4 separate regions of the Mus musculus genome follow, and regions 2, 3 and 4 are each reported to be linked to region 1. Evidence: microRNA targets listed by miRTarBase, many of them from high-throughput screens and not tested one by one. Region 1 holds a microRNA gene; each other region holds the end of a gene's coding sequence.

Region 1 (7,224 bases):
AGTGTTTTTATTTCAAGGTTAGCACCTTTAGATCTCGCAATGTTGATTTAGTACAACGCACATTACTATTTAAAATGCAGCAGGAGCTAATTTCTAGACACATGTACACATGTGTACTTGTGCATAGAAACATACACACATACACACAGAGAGATGATTATCTAAAAACTGATTTGTCAAATAAACTTTGAAGTAGCATGCATTGTTGGGTACAGGATGAACGCTAACATGGTGAAATTCAGCCATGCTATGGAGGAAGGCACCGGACATGGACACAGGCTGGGCTGAAGATCAGCAGTGGGATGACTGTCCACCATGAGTAAGGGCCTGGGTTCCCTCCCTGACCTCACAATAAAATAAAATAAAATAAAATAAAATAAAAACTAATTCATTTCTCATTACCCGCCTTTGATGGATTGTAGTGTTGTGTCTCTAAATGAGAAGAGAGTGGAAACAGGTTTTCTCTGTGATTCAACTCTTTCTTTTATTCCTATTATTCTTAAAAAAAAAAAAAAAACCTTTTATTGATTTAAGTTTCACCTCACGCACCCAGTCCTGTTCCTCTCTCCTTCCCTCATGTCTACCTTTCTTCCTTGCAACCTCCCCCAACAAAATACACACACACACACACACACACACACACACACACACACAGAGAGACAGAGACAGAGAGAGACAGAGACAGAGAGAGACAGAGAGAGAGACAGAGACAGAGAGAGACAGAGAGAGAGAACAAAGCTAGAAAACATCTCATCGTGGAACTGTAGCGAGTAACAGTGTGTCCCACAGTGTATATCCCTCCTCATCTGCAAATGTTCATTGCAATGAATCACTGGCCTGGTTCGGGGGGGTCTCTGGCTTCTGTGACCCCATCAATATTGGCTCCTCATTAGGATTACTTCTGTTGCTGATCTGTGTCATGGAGATCCTGCAGCTCTGAATCAGTAAGACTGGCCTTTTCAATGTATCCCAGCAATTTGCAGATGATATCTGGGTGGCCCCTGAGCTGGTCAGTGCGCTGACTGGCTCTCCCTTATCTGTACTGCAACACAAGCTCTGAGCACTGCTCTGGCTAGTCCACCCAGTGCTGCCATCGACAGGAGGCAGCCGCAGCTTTCCTGCTCTCATGCCCTTAGGCCTGCTCACCCACACCTACGCCTCCAGAGCTAGCTCCACTGTGCTGCCTGGTCAAGGTGCTGGGCCCAAGATAAGAATATTTTTAGGATGCTTTTTTGCAAGCACATCTTGGAAAACACAACACACGGGTGTGGCTGCATGGGATGGAAAGTGAATTAGAGGCGGTGCTTGTTTGCTTTTCCATCCCAGGACACAGTACCCCAGAACCACAGCTCAGGATGGAGAACTCAGCTCAGCTCACAGCCTCAGAAGCTCCATGCTCTCTCGGCTTCACGGACTTGGGCCTGTGGTGAGGCAGAGTGTTATGGTGGAAGGGCATTTAGATCTGAGAAAGTGGAGGGAGGGGCAGGTGAAGAGGCGAGGGACAAGACATGCCCTTCAAAGGCATAGCCCAGCGACCCACTTCCTCCAGCTGGGTCTCATTACCACCCATAATGCCGTTAGTAATGGATCAATGGAATCGACCACTGATGAAGGGAGATGCCACACATACACACCACACATACACACACACACTATACACACACACACTATACACACACACACACTATACACACACACACACGTATATATACATATATATGTATATATATGTATGTATATACACATACATACAGACAGACATGAAATAGTGAACAAACCACAGAACCCCCCCCAGTCTGGCCTGTGGGCTAGAGACTGGACTCCTAGATTACTCTAAGTACATGGCCATCACTGCTCACCAGCAAAGGTACAGTGTATTTCTATGCTACATCTGCTTTTTCAACTTCCATCCTTTGGGACAAGTCCTGTGGCGTGGCTCTAGAATCTTCACTGATCACAGAAGAGATTAAGAGGATTGTTGGACTCACAGAGGCTAGTCAGGTAAGCAGTTTCTACTTAAAAGCAGTATTTTATTTTGTGTGGCTGGGTGCTTTGCCTGCATGCATGTCTGCAAACATGGATGCAGTACCCACAGAGGCCAGAAGAGGGCACCGAATCCCTTGGAATTTGAGTTACAGGTGGTTGTGAGCCTTCCGAGTGAGTGCTAGAAATTGAAATTGTGTCCTCTGAAAGAGCAGCCGGCAGTCTTGACTGCTGAATCATCTCTTGAGCCCCATGTTTTACTTTTAAGATTCATTTATGGTTGTCTATCTGTGAGCATCTATGTGAAGGTGTGTGCAGATGCCCACAGAGGCCAGAGAGAGGACATCAGATGTCGGAGCTGGAGTGCCACCTGACATGGGCACTGTGAACTGAATTCAGATTCTCTGGAAGAGCGGCAAGCACCCTTAGCCACTGAGCCATCTCTGCAGCCCAGGTTCTGTCTCTTACACAGGTTAAGCGCCATCTACAAGAGCATAGCCTCCCCTGTGCCTCTAACGTGACCCTTGTCCCAGGACACTTGTCCTTCCGTGCTTAGGAGCCAATGTTACATGAGCAGTGGAGGATGGCACGGATCCCATTTTCAGTCAGGGCAGGAGGGCAGATCAGTCTGAGGCTTACTGAGCTGAAGGGACAGACAGACCCAAAAGACCAGCGGGTCTCAACCTTCCCAAGGCTGTGACCCTTTAACGCAGCCCCTCATGTTGTGGTGACCCCTAACCATAAGATAATTTTTGTTGCTACTTCATAACTGTAATTCTGCTACTGTTATGAATGGTAATGCAAATATCTGTGATTTCTGATGGTCTCAGGCAACCCCCGAGAAAGGATCATTTGACCCCCAAAGGGGTCGTAACTCACAGGTTGAGAACCACTGCAAAGACAGATCTACAAGAACCCGGTCATTTCTGCTCTCAGAGCACTCAAAATGTTGACAGGAAACTCCGCAAGTTTCTACAAATGCTCATTTTTTGGTCAGCATATGAATTTAAAAGTTCTTCCAGAAGAACAGAAGGGTTCAGACAGCTGCTATCCATGGTGAACAGGTTCCCCTTTTGTCCTTTTCTCATATTTTTCTCTGTCATAACAAATTTGCTCATCCTCACACCCACTGCCATGCAAAGGTCACCTGGCTGAGTTGTGTGAACTGGTATAGTTGACAATTTTACCTAAGAAAATACTTCTCACCTGGTCAAACCTAATGAACTCTGAACTTTCGGTTCACTAAACATCCACTCCTTGGCACCCATTGTGTTAGTGGAGAAGGACGAAGAGCCGACCCATTTCCTAGCTGTTATACAACTTGGCAAACTGTGCTTACATGCAGCTAGTGGATCCTGTATAAAACACAAAAGGGCGATGCGATTTCCAAGCGGTTGGCATCTCCCTGAAGATCTGTGGTCCAAATGCAGCATATGTAGCTACACTGCCCACACTTGACTGGCACAGCCTGCCTGTCTCTTACAAGATGGCTGCTGCAGGCCTAGGCTCAGGTGTGGAAGCACTGAGTCAGCTGATAAATGACAACGAGTGTCAGTGGGAATTCTGCCCCTGTATCAGTCCCGTTGAGCACTGGACTCCCTGAAAACACTTCCCAGACTTCAGTGAGAGAGAGGAGCCCCAGGCCTTGTTGTCAAATTATTATAATTTTTTGGAAGATACAAAAATATAAATAACAGCAATATTTCAAGAGTTTAAAGTTTCAAACCAGGGAAGGATCCAAGATAAAAAGATGACACATCAGACATCGGAGGCAGGAAGACAAGAACAAGAGCCTGCTCAGTCCAGAGGGCTGCGCCCAAGGGACAGCCACACCTTTTCCTGTGCTGAGAAGTTTCCTTATCAGGTAACACTACAGATCCTCCAAGTCAGTTAAATCCACGGCCACTTTCAAGAACAGTGTGTCGTCTTTAATGTAGGTGTTCTTGGAGTTCTCCAGAGTAGAGTGCGACACAAAGCGGGGACAGCCAGAGGCAATGTTCATCTCGCCATCTGGCCTTTTGAAGCTGCTGCTGTTGGGGTCAGCTTTGAAGGTCTCCACAATATGGTTCTTCTTGCCGCTCTGGTCCAAAAGCATCAGGGTCACCCTCTGCCTGAACGGCCACTGCAGCAGCGAGTCAAACTCACCGCGCATCACCACAAAGTACAGGGACAGGTGCGTTCCCTTCCCCGACCCGTCCCCGTTCAGGTACGCCCTGGCACAGAGCCGGTAGCCGCAGCGGCTGGTGTAGAAAGGCTGGCTGAAGACGGACACTGTGTGCCCCTCCACGGCCTCCCTCTTCTTCACCCTGTAATCTGTCACCTTCCAGATGAGCTTGCCACTGTAGCAGGCGCCCTCCAGCTGCTTAAACCGCTCTTCGTTCTTATTCAGCTGTGCTTTGTGGATATTAATGTGTGCGTCGTGCTTGCTGGTCTCCCCCTCTAAAAGAACTGGAAGGAAACACAGGACAGGAGGCTGCAGCTCGGGCCTGTCATCTGAGCACTACCTGTGAACTACTACATGCATTGCTAACATTAACTCAATCGTGGTAAGCTGACGCCAAGCAGACATGGATGTATCCTCCCTCTTCACTCTCAGCTTGCCTGAGTATAAGACACATTGGACATTCACCTCGAGTGAATTCTCATGCTGAGCCTTGTGCCCGTCTAACTGTGTGTGTTTGTGTGTGTGTGCATGCATGCACACGAGTGTGCTTGTGATGTAAGTGTCTGTGCATACTTGCATGTGTTTGGCTGTGAGGTGCTTGTGGCATACAGAGGCCAGAGGTTGATACTGAGTGTCTTCCCCAGTAGTATTTCAGTCTTTTGATGTAGTTCTCTCACTGAATTAAACCCTGATATTCTGGCTAGCTTGTCCTGGAGATCCTGTGTCAGCCTCCAGAGTGCTAGGACCACAGGTAGCCCTCCAGTCCACTCAGCAATCACATGGCTACAAGGATCCAAATTCTAGGTCATGTGTGCAGCAAGTGTGTTATCTACTGAGCCATCTCCCCAACTCCTATAATGAATTTTACATTTAAAAGACTTATTATGGGGGCTGGAGAGATGGCTCAGCAGTTAAGAGCACTGACTGCTCTTCTAGAGGCCCTGAGTTCAAATCCCAGGAACCACATGGTGGCTCACAACCATCTGTAATCAGATCTGATTCCCTCTTCTGGTGTGTCTGAAGAGAGCAACAGTGTACTCACATACATAAAACAAATAAATAAATATCTTTATAAAGTCTTATTATTATTGTTATTGTTGTTACTGTTGGTGGTGCGTGCGTGCGTGCGTGCGTGCGTGCGTGCGTGTGTGTGTGTGTGTGTGTGTGTGTGTAAGTGAAGGCATGTACACCATAGTATACATGTGAAGGTCATAGAACAACTTTCAATAGTTGGTTCTTTCTCTCCACTGTGTGGGTTCCAGAGATCAAACTCTGGGTGTTATAGTTTCAATGAGTTGTGTGTCCTAAGTCCTAAGCATTGGAATACTTGGTCCCCAGTTGGTGGGTTGTTTGGGGAGGATTAGGAGGTGTGGTCTTATTGGAGGAGGTGTGGTCTTGTTGGAGGTGTGGTCTTGTTGGAGGAGGTGTGGTCTTGCTGGAGGAGGTGTGGTCTTGTTGGAGGAGGTGTGGTCTTGTTGGAGGAAGTGTGGTCTAGTTGGAGGAGGTGTGGTCTTGTTGGAGGAGGTGTGTCACTGGGCTTGGGGTTTCAGCAGCTGCTCCAGTGCCATGCCTGCCTGCCTGCTGTTTCTCTATGAGATGGTGGTAAATTCTTATTTCTCTGCAATCATAAGCCCAAATAACACTTCCTCCTACAAGTTACCTTGGTCATGGTGCTTTGTCACAGCAACAGAGAAGCCACTGATACACTGGTCATCTCGATTGCATAGCAAATCACCTGCTAAGCAATCTCACTGGCCCCAGTGCACCAAAGCCTAAGACACCCATCACCTCTCTCCCTTGTTCTTAATGATTACCACTCCCAGCTCTTGGGACTGCCTGGGCCATTTCAGTCTCGTCTGACTCCACACACATGGTGGAGACCCTCATTTTCTGAGGCAGCTAGAATCTCATGCTGCTTCACAAACAGGATTCAGCCACTGGGCAACCCAGAAAGCTGGTTGTGACTTGTTAGCTTCTACCACAAATGCACACAGACAGGGAAGCCATGAGAGGGAACCCGACTGCTTCATACACACACACACACACACACACACACACACACACACACACGTACCTAATCTCTGGTCACTGGCTTCCAGCTGGGTGATCCTCTGTTTCACGCTGTCAACCGCATCCACCAAAGACCTCAGATCAAGTCGACTTGGCTGCTGGTTAACTATTTGTAGCAGCTGCCGCACCTGCGCTTCCAGCCAAGCTGACTTGTCCGTGTGACTGGTGAGAGCCTTGCGGTACAAAAAAGAGAATATGTCTTGGAAACGAGACATCGGATTTGTAGCGTGTTGACTGAATTTTAACACAAACATTTCACATAGAATGATCCACTCATGAAATGGAAGTGGCAGTGTCCAGAGAGGGGGTTCAGTGGACATGGCAGAGTCAGCAGCTGCCATCTTCTTCTTCCTTTCCAGGCTGGACTCCTCTGGTGAATTTCTGAGCTTTCCCCGATGTGTCTAAAGTCTCCCCTCCATGTATTCACATGCACTTTGTGGCCCTCTTGCCTTAGCCTTGCTTCCCTCAGAAGAAAGTTTCCTTTCTGTAAGGAGGTCAAGATTGGGCAGGAGCAGGCAGAGCCTACACACTCTATGGATCTTTCACATGGAGGATATTAATCTGTCTGCCTTGCCCATATAGTCTTAATTCCACCCTATTGCTCTCTGTTTAGGAAAATGTCAGAACTAATAGTGTGATAGGTTCCTTTTTTTTTCCTAGACATACTAACACATACATATACATATGTGCACACACATCTGCACATACGTGCCCAGCACATGTAGAACAGGTGCATACATGTATGTATATATGTATATGCTGTGGTGAAGAAGAATAAAGCTTCTATGGCCTAGATTTCCTGGAACAATACACATTTCAAACACATTGCCCATGTTATATGTCTTTAAATCACTACAAATCTGGTCATGAGAGAACTTTTATTTGTTAGGGGTCCATTTGTGGTTAGTTAACATTCAGGATTCATCGAGTGATGTTTAAGGCATGCCCTTCCCAAAGGGAATTAATGATTTTACACACATACCATGGAAGTATGGTATAAACGTTGC
Region 2 (7,895 bases), not on the chromosome of region 1:
AGCCAGTGCTCTTCACTGCTGAGCTGTGTCTCCATCCTGATTTCTAGGTTTTGCAGAAAAGTACTTTGAAATGCACCCCTAGTCTCCTATGGATGAGGCTTTCTGCAGTTGAAAAGGGGCTGGCTTTCTGAATGGGCAATGTATGCTACAGGTTTCTGCCTCTTGTTAATAGTTGATATGGTTTGCCTGGCCCTACAGGCACCCGAGTGTCACCCTGATGTCCAAGATAATGACTTCTTTTCTCATACATCCTAATGGGTGACAGCTCTCAGCCCAGTTTGTAGCAGATGGATGGATGGATGGATGGATGGATGGATGGATGGATGGATGGATGGAGAAAGCAACCACTTCATTGTCTTTCATATCAACAGACTCTTCTTAGCCAGTCAGGTCAGCAGAGCCCCTAGATCTTCTCAGCCTTCCTAACGCTGTGACTCTCTAACAACAGCTCCTCATGTTGTGCCCACCCTAACCATAAAGTTATTTTGTGGCTACATCATAACTATAATTTTGCTACAGCTATGAATCGTACTGTAAACATCTGCTATGAAGGATATCTGGCCCACAGCTGAGAACTGCCGCCCTAGATGGATATCAATCTGTAGGGCCACCTTCCATGACTTTCCAGCAGGTGGGATTTAGACTCAAGTTCAGTTCAACCTCCACCAGCGGATTCTATTTCTATTTTCTAGCCTATTTGTTTTATCTCCAGCATAGCTGAGCTGCACCCCACACAGTGTTTTATCCCTGACGTATCCAAAGCTCAGGGGCAGCCTCCGCTCTGCAAACCCTATCATCCTGCCGTGTGCTACCCTGAGGGCATCTTCTCTGGTTTTTGTTTTTTCCTAGATGTGACCCCTGATAATTTGGCACACTTCTAGTCCATGCCTTATAAATAGGAAATGAAGTGCATCCCAGTGCGTTGGACTGTGGTTAGATAATTAGATACTCCCATTCTGCCACTGGATGTGAGAACCCTGCTCACTACACCTCAGCATCTAGGGCAGAAACGAGGTCATTGTCATCAAAATATAACCAAAACTAAGGGTACAGTCTATTATATGGGATGCTCAAAGTATTTGTCATTAGGAATCCATTTTCCAACTAAGAAGCAGATGATTGATAACCAACTTTAGGGGCTGGAGAGATGGCTCAGTGATTAAGGGTGCTTTCTGATCTTGCAAAAAAAAAAAGTGGCCTTTGGTTTTTAATACCCACACTGGGTGGTTTATACCTGCTTATAACTCCAGCTCCAAGGGATCTGCAACTCTGGCCTCTCAGGGCACCTGCACACAGGTAATGAACTTAAAGAGTCAACTTTAAGATCAGAGAATTGGATCACTAGACGAAGGCACTTGCCATCAAGCATGAAAAGCCAGGTTCTGTGCAATCCCCAGGACCCATACGGTAGAAGGCACGACTGCCTCTCACAACTCACTCATGGACCTCCAAACTACTGTGGCACACGTATGCACACAACAACAACATACAAATAAATACATATAGTTAAAAAAAGAAGCTGTTTGTAGTCCTCTAATGCTGCACCGTGAAACGTATTTTTCCTTGCTGCTGTGGTTTCCTTTGAGGCTCCTATAAAAGCTTAATGGAACGTTAACTTCCGCTGTGCTCTTTACTTGATGTCTCAGAGTCTTAGTTACCTGAAGTACTTCAGTTCATCTTCTTGCCACTCAAGCTCTGCATAGCTCCTGGCACACCAAGCATGCCCAATGCCTGACAGCGCATGGTTCTTATTCCTATGTAGAGAGCAACCTACAAGTTGGAACCAAGTTTGGGCTTGCTCTATTTTCCCAAAGTATTTCTTAAGAAAGGGCAGGTCAGAGACTGTGGTTTGTCTACCCCGTGCTAAACAAATGTATTTTTCTTCTGTATAAAAAGTAGTTATTTTAAAAATCAGTGGTTTAGCCATTCAAAGAAGTACACTTTTATGATTTTTATAACCAACAAGGTAAAAATTATTGAAAATCCTGGTAATGTATGGTAAAACCATCAGACATATATGTGGATTAATTAACAATTATGAAGAGAAAAACCAAGTTGTACATCTGGTGGAGGTCACTTTATGCAAACTGGCTAGGCATGGTGGCACATGTTTATTTCCAGTACTCAGGAGGCAGAGGCAGGCTCCACAGAGGGAGTTCCAGGCCCTCGAGGGCTATATGGTGAGAGCTTGACTCAAACTATAACAACAACAACAACAACAACAACAAAAATTGTCATCATCAACAAGAAACAAGGCAACTCTTAGGATGTGATGCAGTAAGGACAGGACACTAGCTATGCAGTGTTCTTGCAGAAAAAGAAAATCCTCATCTGACTCTACCGAGGAAACAGTTAGGTAGATCCAAGCCTTTACACTGTGTTACCAAAGAAGTGAGCTAGACACAGTCAGCTATAGGATGGAACACAGGGCCCCCAATGGAGGAGCTAGAGAAAGCACCCAAGGAGCTAAAGGGATCTGCAACCCTATAGGTGGAACAACATTATGAACTAACCAGTACCCCCGGAGCTCGTGTCTCTAGCTGCATATGTAGCAGAAGATGGCCTAGTCGGCCATCATTGGGAAGAGAGGCCCCTTGGTCTTGCAAACTTTATATGCCCCAGTACAGGGAAACACCAAGGCCAAGAAGTGGGAGTGGGTGGGTAGGGGAGCAGGGCGGGGGGAGGGTATAGGGAACTTTCGGAATAGTATTTGAAATGTAAATAAAGAAAATATCTAATAAAAAATAAAAATAAGTTAAAAAAAGTGAGCTAGACCCTTTAGATGGGCCCTCCTCTTAAAAACTTCTCAGAAGGAGTCTAAAGAGACACTATTGATAACTGTCACATGCAATCCTTGATCAAATCCTCAAGGAGGACAAACCACAGCTGTCCAGGTTGCTATAAGCTCAGGCGGTCAGATTTGCATGTGAACTATATATTAGAGAGTGAGAAGGGAGTGAGACTTTGAGGCTGTGGCCTGCTAACCCACTGCTTCTGAAGTGTAGAGGGTCTGGAGATCTTACTAGAACTAAGAGCATCATGAATACAAAGGGAATTGGTTCCACTGAGCTCAATCTCCTGAGCTTGGAGTCACATAAACTGTCTTTAAAAACTTAGAAATGACCATGAAATCACAGTCAGGGCACACAGTTCTGTGAGGTACAAGTACTGTGGGGGAGGCAATTCTAACTGCAGACGATGCTGAGTGAATATCAAGTATTGTGTCCATGTGTATGCAGGTGCATGTGCGCCTTGTGTGAAGGCAGAGTACCTTTTTGTTTACAGGTTTCTCCATAGTCTGGAACTTTGCTGAGTTGACTTGGCCAGCTGGCCAGCAAGCTCTAGGGATCTGCCTGCCTTACCTCTCCAGCCTTGCCTCCCCAGCACTGGAATTATAAGTGTGTGCTATCTGTCACTGAGCCCGACCTTTTGCACGGGGTCTGGGGCTCAAACTCACATCCTCACATCTGCAAGGCACACTTTACTGACTGAGCCATCTCCCCAGCACTAACTGGAAACTCGATTGTCACCAATAGAATTCCAGAGCAGGGCCTCTGTTTTACTGGTTTGGAGCTGTCTTGTCTAATGAAAATAGATTGCTAGTAAGAACCAGGGTAAATTTTCATCCTTGCAGTAGTACAGGGATGCCAGAGCAGCTGGCAGGGCAGCCCTGGCTGTCTGCGTCGGATCCTGTGGTTTATTATCTCATCTGAGGGGACATTAGGGAAGAGTGTGGCAGCCTTGTTGGCAATCACTAAAGAAATTCAACGTGCGGGCTGCCTCTGTGTTTCCGAGAGGGGCAGCAGACATTAACAGCTTACTTCTAGTCCCAGTAGCCATGATATTTTCATTACTGCTGTCCTCAGGCACAGACTTTTTAATTTAAAACAGGAAGGTAAGTTCAGGATGGAAATAGCCCATCACCAGAGGAGCATCGCCGCACCAAAATCACATTATAGCTCACCTGCCAATCTTAGCAGCATGCCAGGTGCTTTGGGGTGTCTGGAAGGAGGATGTAAGAAAGGAAGGTAGCAGAAAGGCAAACTGGAAGGAAAGAAGGAAGGAAAACTGGAATCACCACTGCCCTGAAATGGCTGAGGACTTGACTTTGAAGTACGATGGACTCCTAGGTTTACGACTTTCTGACTGGTAAGAATGATCGCTTTGGCCGCAGCATTTCCCCTTATCACTTGCAAAGTTATAACACCCTTCTTTTGGCTGATAACGATAGTGGGTTCAAGTAGGCTGCAAATTTGTTGTTATTCTCCTCAGCAGGTGGGTCTTATGCCCTTCTTCTCAGTCTGAACTGGTTATGTCTGCTCAGAAAACAGGACAGAGTCACAGCACAGGTCGGGGCATGGCCTCTTACAGGACTGCACTCCCTACAGCTCGCTTCTTAGAGTACTTACAGAGGCAACTTGATGAAGGGGTCTTAGCCACAGGGAGCCTCACAGTCATATGGATGGATATCTGCCTTGGACATCGTAGCCCTGCCGACTCTCTGGATGGTATCATATACAGCAGGGGCAGGCCAACCAAGACCAGTCGTGTGCCTGAGGATCCCAGGATCACAAGCTAAGAACACATGCTAAGCCGCCCACCCAATATTTATCTGGCTACCTCTGCAGCAAGAAATCTAAGTGAGACTCAAAAGTTTGTAGGAATAAAGATCAGAGTCCAGGCATGGTAGTACAAACATAGAATCCCAGAATCTGAGATGGAGGCCGGAGGACCAGAAGTCAAGACCTTCTTGGGTGACAGTGATTCCGAGTTCTGCCTAGGCTACCTGAGCCTCCTCCAGTGAGGAGGTCCAGAGAGGGGTCTGAGGAAGTAGCTCAGTGGTAGAATTCACACTTAGCTTGAACGAGGCCCTGGTTTCCTTCCTCATCCTCCTCATAAGACAGAATGACAAAGCACAGGAAACATTTGCTACGTTGAAAGAGAACTGTGTAGAACAAATTGCTACACCCTTATCTTTTTTGTGCTTTTGACTTTAAAGCTAGCTCTAGCTGTTAAGACCACTTTTTGATGTTCAACACAAGAGAGAGAAAATAAAAGGAAAAATTTCATTTTAATTCATTCTCATCCCAACATGTGTGTTCTACACAGATCTCAGTTTTTTTAAAACAGAGTTTATTGTATTTAATACATTATAAAATCTGAAAAAATTGTAGGAAAGCAGCAGACTGAAACTGGAGATCTCTAGCAAGTAATAACTCTGGCCCCTCTGCCAAACGATCAGCATAAAAACAAAGGAAAGGTCGCGGCTGTGCGGTGGACAAAAGTGCCAGTCCTGTACAGACTGCAGTCAGATGTCCTGTCTACCGCACGTCCCGTGTGGTGTGCTCTTGAGTGGTTCTCTGAACTCCCTTCTGGTCCCTACCTGACCAGACACAAAACCTCCACTTGCAAAGGAACACCAGCCCAGGTGTTTTGTTTATTTGTTTAAAAAAAAGAAAAGAACAATAAAGAAAAAAGAAACAATTGATGGCTGCTGGCAATGAAGCAGTAAGGAGACTGTCCTCCCTGCTCATGGCTTATTTACTGGACAGAGACCTCAGAGGCCCAGAACACCACGGTCATCACAGCACCCACTGCGTTCTCTCTCTCTCTCTCTCTCTCTCTCTCTCTCTCTCTCTCTCTCCCTCTCTCTCTCTCTCCTTGCATTTCCTACCTTTTGACATATAGATATTTATATATTTATATATTTTTTTACATCTTGAGGATATCATGATTCCAATTGTTCCCATATGAATACAGGTGTGATTTCTAGTGGATATAAATGTCTTTTATTCAATTTTAGGTTCAGAGCTTGGTTTACTGTCCCAGCTGCACACAAATGTCCCTTTTCTCATATTGTTATTGGTTGTGTATGTTTTCTTTTTGCATAAGAAATATGTCTGTTTAGTCCAGTGGCTCCTGTTTTATCCGGATGACTGAGGGTACTCGGGGTGTCCGCCTCAGTTCCCGTCGGAGGACATATTCACTGAACTGGGACGAGTCCACTCCTCCTCCACAGGAACCCACAATTTCAAATCCTCTTTGCTGCAACCGCTCAAGGACCTGTAAAAAACCAAAATAGGCGTCTGCTTAGGGGCAAGGCATAGACACACCAAAGATGCGTGCCAAAGCTCAATTCCTGTACACTCAAGAATGAAGGCAATGGTTTTTCACTAGAAAATATACCCCAAATTAAGCTATTTCTAACAGAGCCATCACTCAGTTGTAGAGTGCTTGCCCAGCATGTATAGGGCCATGGTTTTGAGCCCTAGTGCTGCAAACAAACAAGAAGATTCTGTAACGGTCCAGTTTCGGCTCCACGGCCTGTTATTAACTCTGAAGTCAAATGCTAGCTGGGTCCTTGCATTCGGTACATGTCCGACACTCTCTGATGCAGGAAGCCATCTCTGCAACTCCGAGATAGGGAAAGTACAGGAAGCTGAGTGAATTCTGCTTTTCAGCAATGCAACAGATAGAGCATTGGATATAATTAAATTCCACATAACGTGAAAGGAAAGGGATACCATAGACCATAACTTTAAAAATAAACATGTTTCATTTCTTTCCTGGAATGGAGTAAACTGCTGTTAAATAACTCCACAAATGTCAATAATGTGAGAGGCAAAGAGAGGAGGGCCAAGAGTGTGGAACTAGCCTGGGCTACAGAGTGAGAGTCTGGCTGAAAACAGGCAAGCAAAACCCTAAATGTAACTAAACAAAGCAATCCTAATTCTAATTAATTAGTTAACTGTAGCACTGGGAATTGAACCCAGGACCTTGTGCATGCTAGGCAAGCACTCTACCACTGAGCTACATTTCTGGTTTCTTAAGTTATTGTTTTTCATCACCAACTTTTATAAGTAACACAGAAGCAACATAACGATCTAGAAGAGATTGGAAAAACAAGAGTATGTGCTCCAAACATGCAAACCAGAGACTGAGAACGGTGGCCAGCCCTCCCCAGGGTATCCCTCAGTTTGTGCAGGTGAATTCACTGCACATATCTGTGCTCATTGGCCTAAGCACAGGATGATGATGGGACCCATCCCTAACTCAAGTTCCAGGTGCTCTGGTGGCTGGTGAATACAGTGGCTGAAAACAGCTCTCTGAGAAGACGCTGAGGATGGAGTTGAACCTGTGTAAGAGCTGCCTCAGTGTGCTTTGAAAGGATCTTCTGCCCCATTAGGAGAGGACATGTGAGTGTGAGGAGCCATCAGACAGTAATGAGCCTTCTTCCTCCCCAGAGGTTATCATACACAGACTGTGACGAGTATCTGGAATGATCCTGTGCTGGCTTCCATGTGGTCCAGTGCTTGTTTCAATGCCATGTACACAACTTAGGAAGTCACTGTTTTGTTTTTTAAATATTTTTCCATTTATTTATTTACTTACATATTCAGTGTGTGTGTATGTGTGTATGTGTGTGTCCATCCATAAAGGTCAGATGACAATTTATGGAAGTCATCTTTCTTCTTCTACTCTGTGAGTCCCAGGAATTAAGCTCAAGTTAACAAGCTTGAAGGCAAGAATCTCTTCCCGATGAGCTAACTCACAAGGCCTGGACTTATTACTAACTAAACAGCAAGTCCAAAGCAGACGTTGTTAGGTTTAGAAATGTTTTGGGAATGTTTAAATAATTGAGTGTATCAGGTATGTCATGCCCTGTCCCTAAATCTCTGTGGACTGACAGATGGGTATCTTTCTCTGGGTGGTGGGTAGAGTCAAAGCAAGAATGGGTTGGGCTTCATTGAATGAGGAAGCTGCTTCAGGTGAAATGTGCACAGCTGCTCTGGCCAGCAGATCAGGCATATGAAAGATGAAAGGTGTTCCCTGGCCAAGGGGTGGGGCTAAGATCTTACTTGGCTCTGAATGCTATGGTCAGCTTGCTACGGAAC
Region 3 (7,895 bases), not on the chromosome of region 1:
GATACACACACATATACCTATACACAGACACACACAGACACACATACACAGACACACACATTCATGCTCACAGATATACACACATACACCTACACACACACACACATGCTCACAGATATACACACATACACCTACACACAGACACACACACAGACACACACACATGCTCATAGATATACACACATACACCTACACACACAGACACACACTTATACACAGATACACAGACACACACACAGACACATACACACACAGAGACACATATACACACAGACACACAGACACAGACACACACACATGCTCACAGATATACACACATACACCTACATACACACACAGACACACTCTTACACACAGAGACACATACAGAGACACATACAGACACAGACACACATACAGACACAGACACACACTTATACACAGATACACAGACACACACACGGACACACAGACACATATCGACACAGACACACATACGGACACACATAGACACACACAGACACACATACAAACACATACAGACAGACAGACATACAGACATACAGACAGACAGACAGACAGACACACACACACACACACACACACACACACACACACACGTATGGCAGCTGTGGTGGTTAGTGACTTCTTAGCCCCTGGAGTGTCAGTTCTAAGCTCTCACTGTCAGTTGCAGGCAGCTGAAGCCCCTTCCAAATCAGGAGACTTTGCCCTGGCACAGTCATTACAGTGGGATGTGACATCACCAGAATACATGACCGAGCTTTTGCATAAAACATCTGGGACATACAGGTTTTCAACCTGTAGGTCGTGACCCCTTTGGAAGTCGAATGACCCTTTCACAGGGGTCACATATCAGATATCCTGCATATCAGATATTTACATTATGATTCATAACAGTAGCGAATTGCAGTTATGAAGTAGCAAAATCATTACTTTGTGGTTGGAGGTGGGGTCACCACAACACGAGGAACTGTATTAACAGGTCACAGCATTTGAAAGGTGGAGAACCACTGACCTAGGACACCATAGGTCCCCTGTTTCCAAGGGAGGCCAAAAGTCATGTTGGTTCTCATCCTACCGGAAACCAACACGGTATGGACAAGCCACTCAGGCAGGGCCACACGGCTAGCTCATGGGCAAGTTCGGACAGGTCTCCTTCCAAATCAGGAGACCAGGACCAGGTCTCCTGCTCCTGAGCTCTGTCTATTCTGCTTGCAGCCTCTCAGTCATGCCTGTGTGACACTATTTCACCCCCTCCCAGCCACGCAGCCCCAGGACTGTTATCCCACGCCGCTGGGGATTGTCCCCAGGCTGGGGAGACTAACAGTCTGCCCTTCTCTCTCCAGATTGAGCGGCAGCTCTTTGAGGAGACGGTGAAGACCCTCAATGGTTTTTATGCGGAGGCTGAGAAGATCGGGGGCAGCTCCTATCTGGAGGGCTGCCTGGCCTGCGCCACGGCCTACTTCATCTTCCTCTGCATGGAGACCCACTATGAGAAGGTGTGGATTCCCCATCTCCCCTTCCCCAGCTACCTTGCCACAGGCTCGTCTTTAAGGACCCCTGTTTCTGCAGGTTCTCAAGAAGATTTCCCGTTACATCCAGGAGCAGAATGAGAAGGTCTTTGCTCCCCGAGGGCTCCTGCTCACGGATCCGGTGGAACGCGGAATGAGGGTTGTATCCTTCCGCGCTCTTCTACACGAGGTGCAGAGTTGTCTACCCAACGGGCTCCTTGAGGATGTCGATAGGAAATGGGAGCCTCCCTAAGGGCCTTCCGGGATCCCACAACCCACTGGCTGTAGGCGTCTTTCACCGTTAGTTATTGGAGTCACATGTGAGTTTCAGGCTTGGTATTTATTGAACTGCATGCCATTGGTGCTTAAAACAGGTCAGCCACCATGCAAAGGCTTTGAAAAATACCATCTCGAGTTCGAGACCAGCCTGGTCTACAAAGTGAGTTCCAGGAAAGCCAGGGCTATACAGAGAAACCAAAACAAAAACAAAACAAAACAAAACAAAACAAAACAAAACAAGAAAGAAAGAAAAAAAGAAAAAGAAAAATACCATATCATGTGATGTCCATCTCATTCCCAAGAGGTCGGGCCTTTCCTAGCCTCCGGTGTGTACCAGGATGTTGAAGAGAAGCTGGCTCAATCACTTACCTTCAAGCAGCAGATTGTCACAGTTAGGATTTGAGCCCAGGCTCTCTTAACCTGTAATACTTTCTGGTACTTGAAGAGTCTGCACGGCTTCCACAATCTCCTTGAATAGCCTGTGTTGAGTCCCACTCTCCACTGAATACAGAAGATCAAAATGAGCGGCAGGATGGGGTTGCTGTATGGGTTGGCTGTCTTGGTGACAGGCCGGGCAGGGGGTGGATGGGTTCTGCCGACCCCACTTGGAACAGTAGTTCAGGTGAATAGCTCCCCGTGCAGTAGTTAAAATAATATATTTTACAATAAAGCTGAGAGAAGAGTTCAGAAAACATAGTCCCCAGAAACACACATATTTCCCCCGATTCTTTTTTTCCTGAGTTCTTGTGTTGTGTTCAGTACTCAGGTACTCCATTTAATTTTCACAGGAACCTCAAGGCGCTGTTAGTGTCCCCACTTTGCAGATGTAATAATTGACTGTTAGCAGGTGAAGGGACTGGCCTGGCCTGGCCTAACTGGAGTGGGCCATTAGGGATATGGAAAGGGAAGTGTTTGTATCTAACACCATTTCCCAGTGCATCTCGAAGAAAGCCAGAATCTGTCCATGGGATCCCGTTGTGCACTCAGCCCTCTGTCCTCTCAGAAACTGTTAGCTGAGGCTTGGAGAAGGGTTTGGATTTTAGTCAGGCCTCTGGTCTTTGGGAATAGAGTGCTTCAGGTCACAGGCTCGTTCTGGGTCTGTACTCCGTTCTTTGGTTAGCAGCCGGGTGCTCGAAGCTCCTTAACTATCGTCCCAGATCGAGATCTCCATCTATGAGGACCGGTGCAGCAGTGGTAGTTCCAGTAGCGGCAGCAGCAGCGGCAGCGGCAGCAGCAGCGCTGGCGGGGGAGGGGCGGGGGCCCGGTGACTGGCCGAGAGTCCCTGTAGGGAGGTGTACAGCCGGAGCGAGGGGCTGGCAGATCTACGGAGGCTGCGCTACCAGAGCACCCGCTTCTGAGTCTTTCTCTGGGCCCACCCTGCCATGTGGTGCGGAAGGGAGGGTGCCTGCCCGCTGTTCCCTGTCCCCAGACCTTTGCTCCTTGGCAGGATCTTCTTCTTTCTGACCCTGGACCTTTTTTTTTTTTTTTTTTTTTCTCCCATGAGGCTGATCTGAGTCATCAGACCCAGACCGTCCTAGGATGTCTGGGGTGGGGGTGGGGGACCCAGCTTGGACAAACCCTATCTTTCCTGCCTCCTTCCTCACTCTAAGGAGGGCCTGGAGAATTCCCACCCTGCATGATACTTCACCCTCAAAGACTCTTTCTAAGGCCCAACGCTACTATGGGCTCCTGCTTGTCAGTGGTCCCATCTCTTCACTGGAGATCTGGGGAGATGGGTGCCCTGGGAGCTATTCAGCCGCTCCAAAGGCAGTGACTTTCCTGTCCTCAGAGCCGAAAGTTCTCTCAGCCTTGCCAAGAAGCACCCAACTCTGAGACTTTGCACCCCACCAGGAACTGATTTTAGGGGTTCAGCCTAGGACTCTGATGGGCTCCACTGGGGTATGGGAAAACTTTGGACGAATGAAGCTGGACAGAGCTTGAACTCCTGAACTGGATCCAATTCCTGCATCGTGTGCATACATGTGGAGTGCACTGTGTGCGCAAATGTATGTATGTATTTGTATGGGTGGCTAAGCATGTACACATGTGAGCAAACAAGGGTATGAATATGAGTGCCTGTATATGTATGACTGCACAAGTCAATGTGTGTATGTGCACATGTGCGTGAACCTATGTTTATCTGAGTGAATGAGGGAGAAGGTAAGTGCATGTGTGCAACACGTGCATGCAAATTATGTATGCGTGTGCACAAGTGTATTGCGTGAGTATACATGTCTATGTGTAAGTATGCATGTGTTTGTGTGTGTGTGTGGGGAGAGAGAGAGAGAGAGAGAGAGAGAGAGAGAGAGAGATTCGGTTGTGTCGTTGTGTGTTCTCTTTGGCTGCTGGGCTAATGACTACTGAGTCCTGCCCCATCCTGTCTCACATTGGTCTGCAGAGCCTCTCTGTGAGTCCCTCCTGGCCCTCTGTAAGTCAATGTTCTAAAGCTGGGCTGTCAGCTTGGCTCTTCCTCTTGGCCTTTCTCCCACCTCTGGCTCTATTGTACACATTCTGATGGAGGGATTGTTGGGCTCCCAGGAGAACCAAGCCAGCGTTTAGGTGGTCTTTGGTGCCCCTCTCCCAGCCCCCATGGCACAGTGGGGCCACAGATGCTGCATATTCAGCCTGCCCAGGTGTCAGGACCCTGAGGCCCTTGTAGATGAAGCTTCCCCGGACATTCAAGGCAAATGTGCCTTGCGAGGAAAAGCGAATGGAGCCATGGCTCCCTAGGGGAGCTAAGTTGAAGGTGATGCATCCTGGGGCCTTAAGATGGACAGAAAGGGGCTGCCTACCTCAGCGGGCAGGAGGTGCTAGAACTAGACAGGAATCACCAGCCACTATCAGCAGCTTCCTGGAGCTGAAAGGGCCTGTCTCTCTACAGCAGGAGACTGTGCTGCGGATGGAGAGGGCTGGCCAAGCCCCTGACGCCTCAGGGTGCCCGAGCCCCATGAGCCCTGGTGCAATGAACCCCTTCTTTCCGAGCTGCAGCCCCCGATCCCCTGCAGAAGCCTGTGCCCTCTGTAGCCTGCTGTGCAGCCAGGCGTCCTGTCTGACTTTGCACAGCCTGTTGGGAAGGTTGGGAAGAGGCAAAATGGAGGGAGACCTTTTGTTTTATTCTGTTCCCAATAAAAGGACTTGCCAGCTTGAGGCTCCATGCTGTTTCCACCAGGCCATCCAAGGAGACACTGGGTGTGGGTGTGAGGAAGCAGCAGATGGCATGCAGGACTGATACACTGTGCCCTTGGAGTGTATGGGACAGTGAAGAGGGGGAACTGTCCAGGTCCCTCTACCAGCCCTTAACCTTTGGTAGATTTGCAACTTCGGGTGGAGCCAGTAGGGTCAAATAAAAGCTAAGCCAAGAGTAATTTATCATTGAGATAGGGAGGGCCTGTTACTTGAGTTCTTACCCTAGGTCAGGCACTGTCTGGGGTTGAGTCACACAGGTGGGCGGTTCAGTGTGGAGGACTAGAAGGGGCTGGCAAGGAGACTCAGCCAGTGAAATGCTCGCCACATAAGCCTAGTGACCCGAGTTTGGGCTCTGGAACCCAGGTAAAGACGGACAAAGAGAACTGACTCCTTAAAATTGTCCTCTGATCTCCATACACGTGCATCACAGAATGGTACCCCCCCCACCCCGTGTGACTACATTAAAATTTTAAAAATATTAGAAAGCAGGAAGATATTGGAAACTAGCATAGCCTATAGCTGGAGTTTCACCAGATTAAGCATTTATTAATCACCTATGATATACCAGACACTTCGATAAAACCGTATTCTGGGGATGAGGAGGGATTTGAAGATTAGCTGAGTCTTCTCAAAAGGTCCAGAGAGGTTGAATAACATGCACCACCATAGAGCCTGTGGAGTTAAAATGGATTTACTCCCAGGTAGAAAGTTGTCCGAGGTTTTGGCGGGCTGGGCCATGTACACAGATCTGTGGGTCAAGGGTCTGTTCCAGAAGGGACCTCGATAGACCACAGGGGGTGTCCTGGAGTGGGGTCACGAAGGAGGTCTCTTCTGAGGGGTAACTCAGGAGCTTCCGGTTGCTGCTACTAGGGGACACATGGCTGGTGCCTGAGCACCCGGGGGAGCCTGGGCCTCTGTCTCTGCTGAGTCTTCGGGTGTGTGTGGGTGGGTGGGGTTGGTGAGCTGCTCCGGTCGGTGGCAGGGAGGTCCTGCTTGAGTTCTGCTTTGGGGGGAAGTTGGCTGTAGCTTGAGGTCAGGTTTAAACCTCAGCCAAACTTTAGAGAGGAAGGCCTGCAGATGGTGGGGGATTTCCAAACTGGCAAAAATTCACCCGCTCCCCCTACCCACCACCTTGCTTGACTGGCTGAGAGGCATTCAGCTCTCCCACTTTTAAAGGGCAAGGATGAAGGAGATAAAAAGGGTAGCCATGCTGGAGAGATGGCCCAGCAGTTGAGAGCACTTCCAGAGGGCCTGAGTTCACTTCCCGGCACCCACATGGCTGATCACGCCTGTGACTCTAGTTCCAGGAGACCTGGCACCTTCTGACTTCCTCTGGCACCAGGCACACACATGGTACATGCAGGTAAACACTCGTACATATTAAAAGAACATTTCTTTTTAAGGAAGAAACATGGTCGTATTTGTTTGAGGCTTATCGTGTGTGCACGAGACTAAGCCACCACATAATTCACTGCTTGGGCCTTCTGGTGAACTTTCCATGGTGTGTGTTACTATACCCATTTTACAGAGGAGGCTCACAGAAGTTAAATGACCCCAAATCACACAATTAAGTAGCAGAGCTTGGCTTTGGATCTAAAGAGGAGGCTGCAGACTGCAGAAAGGCACATGGGTGAATCTAGTTTCAAGGGTCCCTTAGATACTCAGAGACCAGAGTCGTAGATTCCCAAGGAAGGACCTGGGTCTATTTGTGTCTCTAGGTTCTGAGGCAGGCCTGGCACCTCCATGCCCCAGGAGCACAGAATTATGGGTGGGCTGTGTGCACAGGCATGTAGTACTCACAGGGACAGCTCAGTGAATGGCAGGGGAGACCTGATTTTGCAGATCTGGTGAAGTGTGTGGCTCTCTCTGCTGCCTCAGTTTTTCAAGCGGTGGCCTGTCCCCTCTGGCTGGTCGCAGCCATGTCACTTCCCCTTGCTAAGCAGACACAAGCCACAAAGGGCAGGTCTTCCCTGGTTCCCTCTGAAGGGCACAGCCATCCTGACACACTCCACGCAAGTTTCAGTGCATTCATTGCCTTTCTTCCTTTGGTCAAAGACAGCCTGTGTGATACGAAGACTACAGGGTTTCTATAAGTTCGAGTGCCGCCAAGTGGTGGGATCATGTACTGCAGCCAAGAGCCAAAAGACTACTGAAAAGCCAACCACCCTAAGCCAGTATAGCTGTTGTGGCCTGGAAGTTCTTTGCGGTGTCTAGAATTGTGAGTCCAGGCAGAGATCCTGCGACAATCACTCTTTCTCCCCACAGTCAGCTTCAGCTGCTCCAGGCCCTGCCAGGTTCCCCCCAGCCCCCGACACTTCCTGTGAGGTCCCCGAAGGAAGGACCCTCACCTGGCCTTTGCCTTCTATTCCAAGGACAAGCTAGTGAAAACGTGGCTCCAAACAAAATCTGGCTTTGAGCCCTGACTTCAAGATGTGGGCCAGCATTAGAGGCAGCCTCGGCTTTCTCCATCATCACACAGGAAACACTTCACACAACCGTTCAGACCTAATCATGAGACCTGGATTAAAAACACTGGCTCCACAAAAGTAATCAGACCCAGCCTGGAACAAGTTCAAAGAGAGACGAAATTGTCTATCTGAGGTGGAGGAGAGGAGGTCTGGAGAGCTGGTAGCGCACCGGGCCCTCACTTCTTAAAAAGTCAGTGTACTGAATACATGAGCTCTGTGCATCTTTCTGTGTTTTATTGTCTGATAAAATTAAACAAAAAAGTGTATTTGCTCCAAGGTAGGAAAAGAAAGCAAAACACTAGAATTCATGGTTTACTGAAGATCTATTAGCATGCCTCGTGTTAACCCAGGCAGTTGCAATTCAACATATGAAGAGTGTGTGTGTGTGTGTGTGTGTGTGTGTGTGTGTGCGCGCGCGCCTCTCCTGTTTGCTGTTTATTGGGGATATTTA
Region 4 (7,895 bases), not on the chromosome of region 1:
AGAATTTGCTGGATGGTGGATGGAATTGAAAAATATTGTAATGACTGCAGCTCAGATGGAAAAATATCATTCATTTTTCTCTCATGTATGGGTCTAGCTTCTAAGTTTTCATGTGTGTATTATCTTAGTCAGGGTTTCTATTCCTGCACAAACATCATGACCAAGAAGCAAGTTGGGGAGAAAAGAATTTATTCAGCTTACGCTTCCACATTGCTGCTCATCACCAAAGGAAGGCAGGACTAGAACTCAAGCAGGAGTTGATACAGAGGCAATGGGGGGATGTTATGTACTGGCTTGCTTCCTCTGCCTTTCTCAGCCTGCTTTCTTGTAGAACCCAAGACTACCAGCCCAGGGATGGCACCACTCACCACGGGCCCTCTCACCTTGATCACTAATTGAGAAAATGCCTTACAGCTGGATCTCATAGAGGCATTTCCTCAACTGAAGTTCCTTTCTCTGTGAGAACTCCAGCCTGTGTCAAGTTGACACAAAACTAGCCAGTACGCATATTTATGTAGGAATTGAATGTTTATAGATAGATTCCAGGAAACTAGAAAGACAGCCTTGAAAGGGGAAATAAGCTTTAAAGGAGAGAATTTGGAAGGGTGATAGACGTATGTGACATGAAAGTGGAAAGCAGAATGCTGCGGGTGGACAAGGATGAGGGGGATGGGGGTGAAGAGATTGTGGGGAAGAGGGTGTGGAAGAAAAACAACTAAGAAAGTATTAAGAAAGTGCCACAAGGAAACCTGCTTTGTGAAGTAATCAAAATATAAAGTAGGATTTAAAACAAATTTGTAGTTGCAGTCCAGAGTCCTATGAGTGCATCAGACTCAGGGGGAATGAATGGACTTTACTCAATATTACTCAGTATTATCTGGTTGAAATTGGAGAAAATGAGACCTGAAGGAAATCGTGAAAACATATATAGTGATTTCTAGGTAGAGTTGGAGAACCTGTCATCATGCTCCATAGGCTAAGGCATAACAACTTCCTGGGTCTACAGTATTGAGGCCAGCCTGGCCAACAGAGCAGGAAGGCCTCTTTCTCAAAAAGTAAGAAGTATATCTATGTATGTATATATGTATGTATGTATCATCTTTCTGTCTGTCTATCTATCTATCTATCATAAATCTTTCCTATATCTCCAGGTATCACCTACCTATCAATTATCTTCTTTCCATTTATTTATATGTCTGTCTGTCTGTCTATCTATCTATCCATCTATCTACCTATCTGTCATCTTCTATTATCTATCATCTATGTATCTATGTATCTGTATCTATGTATCTATCTATTTGTCTATTTATCTATCTATCTCTCTTATTGTCCACCTACTTATTCATACCTTAGTGACACTTGTACTTAGAAATCCATGCCCTGCTGGAATCTTGTCTCTTTCTATCACATGTGGATTCTAAGGAGATGCTGGCACAGTCTTTTCACCATTTGGTACACTCTACACAGCATATCTCAGGCTCTACACTCTAAGCCTCATTATTCTGCCTTTTATATAATACAAGAAAAAAATGTGGGTTTCTTCATCCATTTCAGTAAAAGGAGCAAGAGCTGCTAGAAGCACGCTCACTGATAATATAAGAAGTGCCAGCAGAGGGAAGGGAGGGTAACCCAAAACCACATCAAAGCTATTGTATCTTGCAAGTCCAAGCAGGACCATTTAATGGAAGAACAAAGGTACGTTGAGCCAGTGAAAACCTTTCAGGCCCACAGTTCTGATCCCTGGAGCTCACTGATATTCCCGCATCCCCAGACATTGATAGGGGAGGGTGTGAGCCATTTATAGGCAGGGAGATAATAATCCACTGAAAATGGCTCGTTAAAGCTATTCAGTCTCTTTGAAGTTTGAAAACTACTCTTTCTGGAGAGTGAAGACTCCCCTGGAGCTCACTGGCCAGCCAGTCTAGCCAAATCTATGAGTCCAGGATTCAGTAAAAGACTCTGCCTCAAAGGATAAGATAGTGAGCAATGAAGGGAGATGTCTGACATTGACATCAGGCCTCCAAGCACACACACACCTGCACACACACAAATACACACTCAATAAATATAATATACATTCTTAAAAAAATAATCACTAGTTTATGAGTGAGGAAAATAAGGTAGTATACAGCATGCATCAGCACTTTTCATATCTGCAAATCTCCTTGCTTCCTAGGAATGCTGACCATTCAGGGATCACTTCTCAGAGCAAGGATAAATGACAATGGTATCTGTACCAATGGACTTGTCCGTCAATAAATGATGTCACTGTTAATTCATCAACTCAACTTCACTGATTCTTTGGAGCCCATCTTAGTTACTTTTTTATTGCTGTTATAAAACACCATTGCCAAGACTCACGTGAGATCTGTATAAGGTTTTCCTTAGCTGGAGGACGGCCACAGAAGTCAAGTGCCCCTTCTTGTGCGAATACATTTTTGTGCTCTTGGGCTAGAGGATAATCTGTCCTTTTGCTCTGTCTTACTTATGCTGGAGACACAGCCTCTCTTTGGCCTGGAATTCATCAAGTGGGCTAACCTAACTGGCCAGAGTACCCTCAGTGATCTTTCTATCTCTACCTTTCCAGCACTGGGATGACAAGCATGTACCACCAGAAGTATTTTATGTGTGTAGATGTTTTGCCTGCATTTAAGTCTGTACCACATGTGTGTTCTGTGCCTATGTAGAGAGGGTACTGATCCCAGGAAATGGAGTTACAGACACTTATAAACCACTATGTGGGTGCTTCAAGTTGAACTGGGTGCTCTAGAACAACAGCCAATGTTGTTAAACACAGAGCCTGCTACCCTAGCTTTTTTTTTTTTAATGTGAGCTATGGGGAATTGAATTCAGGTTATCACACTTGCAAGGGAAGTATTTTACCAACTGAGCCATCTTCCAAGTCAAGTGTCTTTGTTGCATGTTGTCAAGGGCCACATCACAGCATGGGCTCTCAGAGGTGAGATGACCTTGGTCCCCAGCCAGAGTCATCATATATGCTGGGGTGCCCAGGAGCTCCTCTCCCTGTCCTCCTCACTTTCTTGGAAGCAGTTACTTAGCAGACAACACTCACCCTCTACAGGCTCCCAACCATTACTGTGTGGCCTCCCATAAACAATCATCCGGGTGGGAAATAGATTCTTCAGATGGAGAGGTACCTTCAGACAAACTAACCCTGGGTAGCACCAGGTATGCAAACATGCAGCTGTGTCTGTCTCAAAAACAGTAAAATGGAGAGCAATACAGAGAGAGAGAGACACCCAATGCCAACCTCAGGCCATGAAACGTACACGCAAGTGCAACAATGCATACAACACACATATATACCAAACATACAAAGCAAACATCTCCCATGGAACGTGAGAACAGGAGTCACTTTTAACCTATATGCTTCCCTCTTCTTCCAGCTTGAAAAGTGTTCTCTCATCACTATGGTGACCTGCTACTAGGTGCCTGGTGTGTGGCAAGGCTGCCTGCACACTGAATTCCTTACTGCAGAAAAAGATGTGCCTGACTGCTTGCATAGAAATGATGTTAGTTGATATATTAGGCTACAGGGATGCCTAACTTATTTTCGCCTGATTCTTCTTCCTTCAATATCACTACCAGAAAGTTTAGAAACCTATATGACAGACAGTGCCATTTCTACTGGTCAGTGTCATTCTGTGGCAAAGAACTCCAAAAGTAAGGGGCACGCAGCAGGGGCTCTGGTGTCAAGGATAAAGTTCCACCCCTTCCTGCTCCACAATGCCACACCCACCCTCATAGGGAGAGGAAAAGACACAAGCCACTGCAAAGTTACAAATTTATTGGTCTGGAAATAAATACAAACATCTTATTAAGAAACTGCCCTGGAGAGACATATACAGTGATTTCTTGTCAGCATTCAATCACCCTGGCCTGGATTCCTGATCTTTCTACACAAGGTCAGTGGAACTCCTCCTCCACGGTAGGAGTTGGCAGGTAAACTGATCCCTTGTCTCTCATGCCGCCTATAGGGCATAACTACTTTTCCTCTAGCAACTCCAAGATCCTGGAAGTCGCCAGGCCTTGAGGGCTGACTCCCAACGATCAAGTGTCTCTGATCTGATCACATTTCCTATAGGAAAGGTTCAAGGTTAGCCACAGTAAGAATCAAAAGGCAGTAGTATGGAGCATGGGCATTAGGCTGGCATTGCTTAAGAGGCCAATGCTACAAACCCAGTCAGCAGGAGGGGCAGGAGAGGGAAGCAAGTTCCCGTGGAATGTACAGAACCCAAAACCAGTCCTTCCCCCACTAGAACATACGGTTCTCTCTGAAGAACCAGCGATGGGCCAGTTAAGAGACATTCAGCTATCAAGTTTCAAATCAATGCCAGACATCAATTATGGGAGACAAGGTGTGACTCAGTCACACAAGATTCCAGATCAATGAAATCACACCCACCAGGTTCTAGCACTTGGCCCTACCATGAGTCCTCAAAATCCCAGGGCCATTCTATCCCCACCCTTCCCATCCTAAAGACTCATCCCAGACAAGGACCCCTGTCACCTGCTGGGTTCTCCCTCTGCCTCAAAGAATGCAACAACAAATCAAAACCATCTTCCCGAGGGACAGAGGTGTCATCCACTCATTCACTGTGGAATGGGAGCGGGGTACAGTAGACTGCATAGCAAGAGTCTTAAATCACTGATGCCCCACATTTGCTGGATCACTTTCTCTATAAAGCCTGGGGTTTGTTACCAGTTTTTCTTGCACGTTAAAAGGTTGCCAGAAAAACAGGTTGTGGGTTTCAGTGTCCAGAACTTTAAAATCAATTCCTTCAAGTGAGCCTAGTAGACTTGTTGTGTTTTTCCTCTACCTGCCCTAGACCCTGCCTTTTTTTCTCTTCCTTTCTTGGTTTCTCTACTTAAAATAAGGCGCCCAACTTTCCTGCCTCTCTCTCTCCTTTCAAAACAGAAGTTTGTTTCCAGGAATGAGTTTAGTGGGGAGGAAACAGGAAGTAGGCAGGTTGGCAAAACGCCTATGAACCAGAATGCTGGATCAGCCTGGGCTTGGAGCCAGGCAGTGTTACAGCTATCTATTTCTTAGTTTTGGCAGTTTGGTGTCTGAGGGTAGAGAGAGGGTCCACCAGGCCACTTGTTAGCAGAACAGTACGCTGAACTGCTTCTTGCCTTTGGTCCACCACCACCCACCCTGGTCCCAGGAGGCAGTCAGAACAGCCTGGGTCTGCCACCGCCAGAGTTCATTCTTACAAAAGCAGCTTTAGATTAATACCGCATTAGCGTAGGGTGGCAGGCAAGGGTTGGGGGCTAAGGGAGAGGCCACCAGTCCAGGGTGACTGATGCACAGATTGCTTAGCAGGACACCTCCATGGACTTGGGCCCGGCATTGTTTCCGGTGGCACCCGAGTTGGGGGTGATGTTGAGACGGGCATCCTCACTGGTATGGGAGCGGCTACGGGACCCCTCACTGGTGTGCGAGCGGCTTCGGGGGCCCTCGCTGGTATGGGAGCGGCTACGGGTGCCCTCCAGGGATGTGACACTGGAGCCAGAGGCTGTGCGGGACCGCATCAGGCGAGTCATGCTGGCAGAAGGCACTGGGAACACAGAAGACAAATATGGTTAGGATACAGGAAGCCTCTACAGGTGTGGGACTCTACCCCTGGCTGCCAGCCATGACAGTTAATCGTAAGAGCCCAGCTGAACACCACTTCTCTATTGTCTTCATCCTGTGAGCCATCTACCTTCTGTGTCACTCACAAAGAGGACAGTAAAGTCCAATATGTGGGAAAGGCACATAACAATTACATGGCAAGAGTCCTGAGCCATGACCTGGGTCTGACCCCCAGTTTGTTATGTGCTTATTAGCTAGGTGACCACCAGATCATCACACTTGAAGCCTTCCCATTTTCATTTGCAAAATGAAGACTTCGTGTAACCTCCTCTTAAATGTACTGTCAGTAGGCAGTAGAATGTGGAAGCCAGCAAGGTTAGTTCCTGCACATCCCAAGAATAACCCCCAAGGTCTCACCACATGGTTCCTAAGGAAATGTTAGCCATCTGTCTGCCTTCCAAAAGCCTGCTAGCTCTCAAACCTTAGCATGACCAAAACTGCGCATACCACAGCAGATGACTGACAGAATGGGATACAAGACAATCCTCCTCCTATCTAGGGTGGCAGTGCTCCCCCCAAATTCATGCTCACCTGAAACTTCAGAATATGACCTTGTTTGGAATACTTAGAGATATTTAGTTAAGACAAGGTCCTTCTGGATTAGAATGATCCCTAATCTAAAGCCCAATATCATTAAAAAGAAAACAAGAGAGAGCCACCCCATATGGATGGAGAGATTGGTGTAATGCAGCCAGAAGCCACAGAAGGCCTATGATGTAGTCAGCAGAATCCAGAAGGCAAGAAAGGGCCTTGAAAAGTGAGCCCAGCCCTGTCCAAACCTTGACCTCAGATTTGCAGCCTCTGAAGTTGTAGGAAAAATGCATTCTTGACGCTTAAGAGCTTTATTTGTGGGGATCTCTTAGGTTACTCATTGGGGTGACTAATGCCACACCCCAATGAAGCACAGCCCTAGATCAGACACCCAAAATTGGATTAGTCCTTGCTCAGTGGAATTCACTCCTTAAAGAATTAGTGTTGTTCCTGGTTTGTCTGTCTGTCTGACTTTCCCTTTCTTCCTTTCTTCCTTCTTTTCTCTCTCCCCTTCTCTTTCTTTCTTTCCCTCTTTCTTTCCTTTCCTTTCCTTTCCTTTCCTTTCCTTCCTTTTCCTTTCTTTCCTTTTCTTCCTGGTTGTTGTTTTTATCCATTAGTTTTTGGTTTTGAGCAAAGCTCCATTTATCCCAGGCTGGCCTTAAACTCTCTGTGTAGCTGGGAAGACCTTGAATTCACTATCCTTCCACTTCTTCATTCCAAATGCTGAGACAACAGAAGTATACCATCTCAGAACAGCCTGTTTTTAATTCAGAAAGAGGTAGGGTCAGGGCACATCTGTGACCCCTATGTTTGTTCCTGCGTCTCGATTTCTCCACCCAAATCTCTGAGTCCTGATGACCTCACCAGGAAATGACAGCTTCCCATGACACCAGACACACAATGGACGAGTCTTAGGAGCCCAGGATCACAGGCAGGCAGCCTGTGAGCTGGAACCTTCTGTTTCAGCAACCCACCCTTTGGGTCTGTGTCTCTCCCTTTTATTTTTCTCCTAGATCTATGGGACTGCCTGAATGACAAGCTCACTCTAAGCTTAAAGCAGGATACAGCGGGGTGCTCAGTCCTTCAGTTCCTTGATATAATGATCTAGCAAAGATGGCTGGGGAGATGGTTCAGTGGTAAAGAGCACTGACTGCTCTTCTTGAAGCACCTGAGTTCAAATTCCAGCAACCACGTGGTGGCTCACAACCATCCGTAGTGAGATCTGACTCCTTCTTCTGGAGTGTCTGGAGACAGCTACAGTGTACTTACATATAATAAATAAATAGATCTTTTTTAAAAAGTGATCTATCAAGGAAGCACCCTACCTTCGATCTCAGGCACTCTGGGCTCCCTCTTACATAGAGCTCTGGCTCAATCAGCTTCAAACCTCTTTGCGGCCTGCTTAGCCTCTCCCTTCTAGGATTATTATGATGGTATGGTTAAAGGAGACAAAAATCCTTATTAATCCTTCATCACCGTTATCATCTCTATCGTTGCTACAACTGCTGGTCTCCTGAGTGAGCATGTGATCAAAATTAGGGGCATTCCTTATTCAGCTGCTGGTCATTGTTTTGGTTGTTGTTGGGTTTGTGGTTTTTTGTTGTTATTGTTGGCAATGGTGGTGTTTAAAGAGATAGTCCTAGCCTAGAATAGTGCTTCTTGTCTGTAATCCTAGCACTTGGGCGACTGAGGCAAGAGGACTATTAGG

What was found. The annotated mature microRNA mmu-miR-3473c reads UCUCUCCAGCCCCCAUAAUAAG and lies in region 1 at 5,026-5,047, opposite strand. An mRNA with a match to its seed (bases 2 to 7 or 8) in the 3' UTR can be bound and repressed. Matches are read on the target gene's strand: a 7mer-m8 pairs with bases 2 to 8, a 7mer-A1 pairs with bases 2 to 7 and ends in A, and an 8mer does both.
Region 2: the mRNA of Kctd1 is a reported target of mmu-miR-3473c. Seed matches in the 3' UTR shown: 7mer-A1 at 5,655-5,661 and 7mer-A1 at 5,639-5,645.
Region 3: the mRNA of Golga7b is a reported target of mmu-miR-3473c. Seed matches in the 3' UTR shown: 7mer-A1 at 4,064-4,070 and 7mer-m8 at 4,691-4,697.
Region 4: the mRNA of Ndrg1 is a reported target of mmu-miR-3473c. Seed matches in the 3' UTR shown: 7mer-A1 at 4,922-4,928.

Annotation. Positions count from the first base shown.
Region 1 is chr1:191,993,577-192,000,800 of GRCm38, forward strand. It overlaps Mir3473c (microRNA 3473c), which reads right to left and starts at 5,058; the gene lies at 4,978-5,058. It overlaps Traf5 (TNF receptor-associated factor 5), which reads right to left. Exons shown (of 14, transcript NM_011633.2): 13 at 6,222-6,392; 14 at 3,627-4,431. The coding sequence ends at 3,854.
Region 2 is chr18:14,963,633-14,971,527 of GRCm38, forward strand. Kctd1 (potassium channel tetramerisation domain containing 1) reads right to left here. Exons shown (of 5, transcript NM_001142731.1): 5 at 5,053-6,063. The coding sequence ends at 5,905. Among named protein-coding and RNA genes, the nearest start is that of 4933424G05Rik, 21 kb to the right of the region's middle.
Region 3 is chr19:42,265,405-42,273,299 of GRCm38, forward strand. It overlaps Golga7b (golgi autoantigen, golgin subfamily a, 7B), which reads left to right. Exons shown (of 5, transcript NM_027694.2): 3 at 1,347-1,499; 4 at 1,573-1,674; 5 at 2,948-4,944. The coding sequence ends at 3,058. Among named protein-coding and RNA genes, the nearest start is that of Gm34347, 7.7 kb to the right of the region's middle.
Region 4 is chr15:66,925,530-66,933,424 of GRCm38, forward strand. It overlaps Ndrg1 (N-myc downstream regulated gene 1), which reads right to left. Exons shown (of 16, transcript NM_008681.2): 16 at 3,789-5,579. The coding sequence ends at 5,338. Among named protein-coding and RNA genes, the nearest start is that of Ccn4, 38 kb to the left of the region's middle.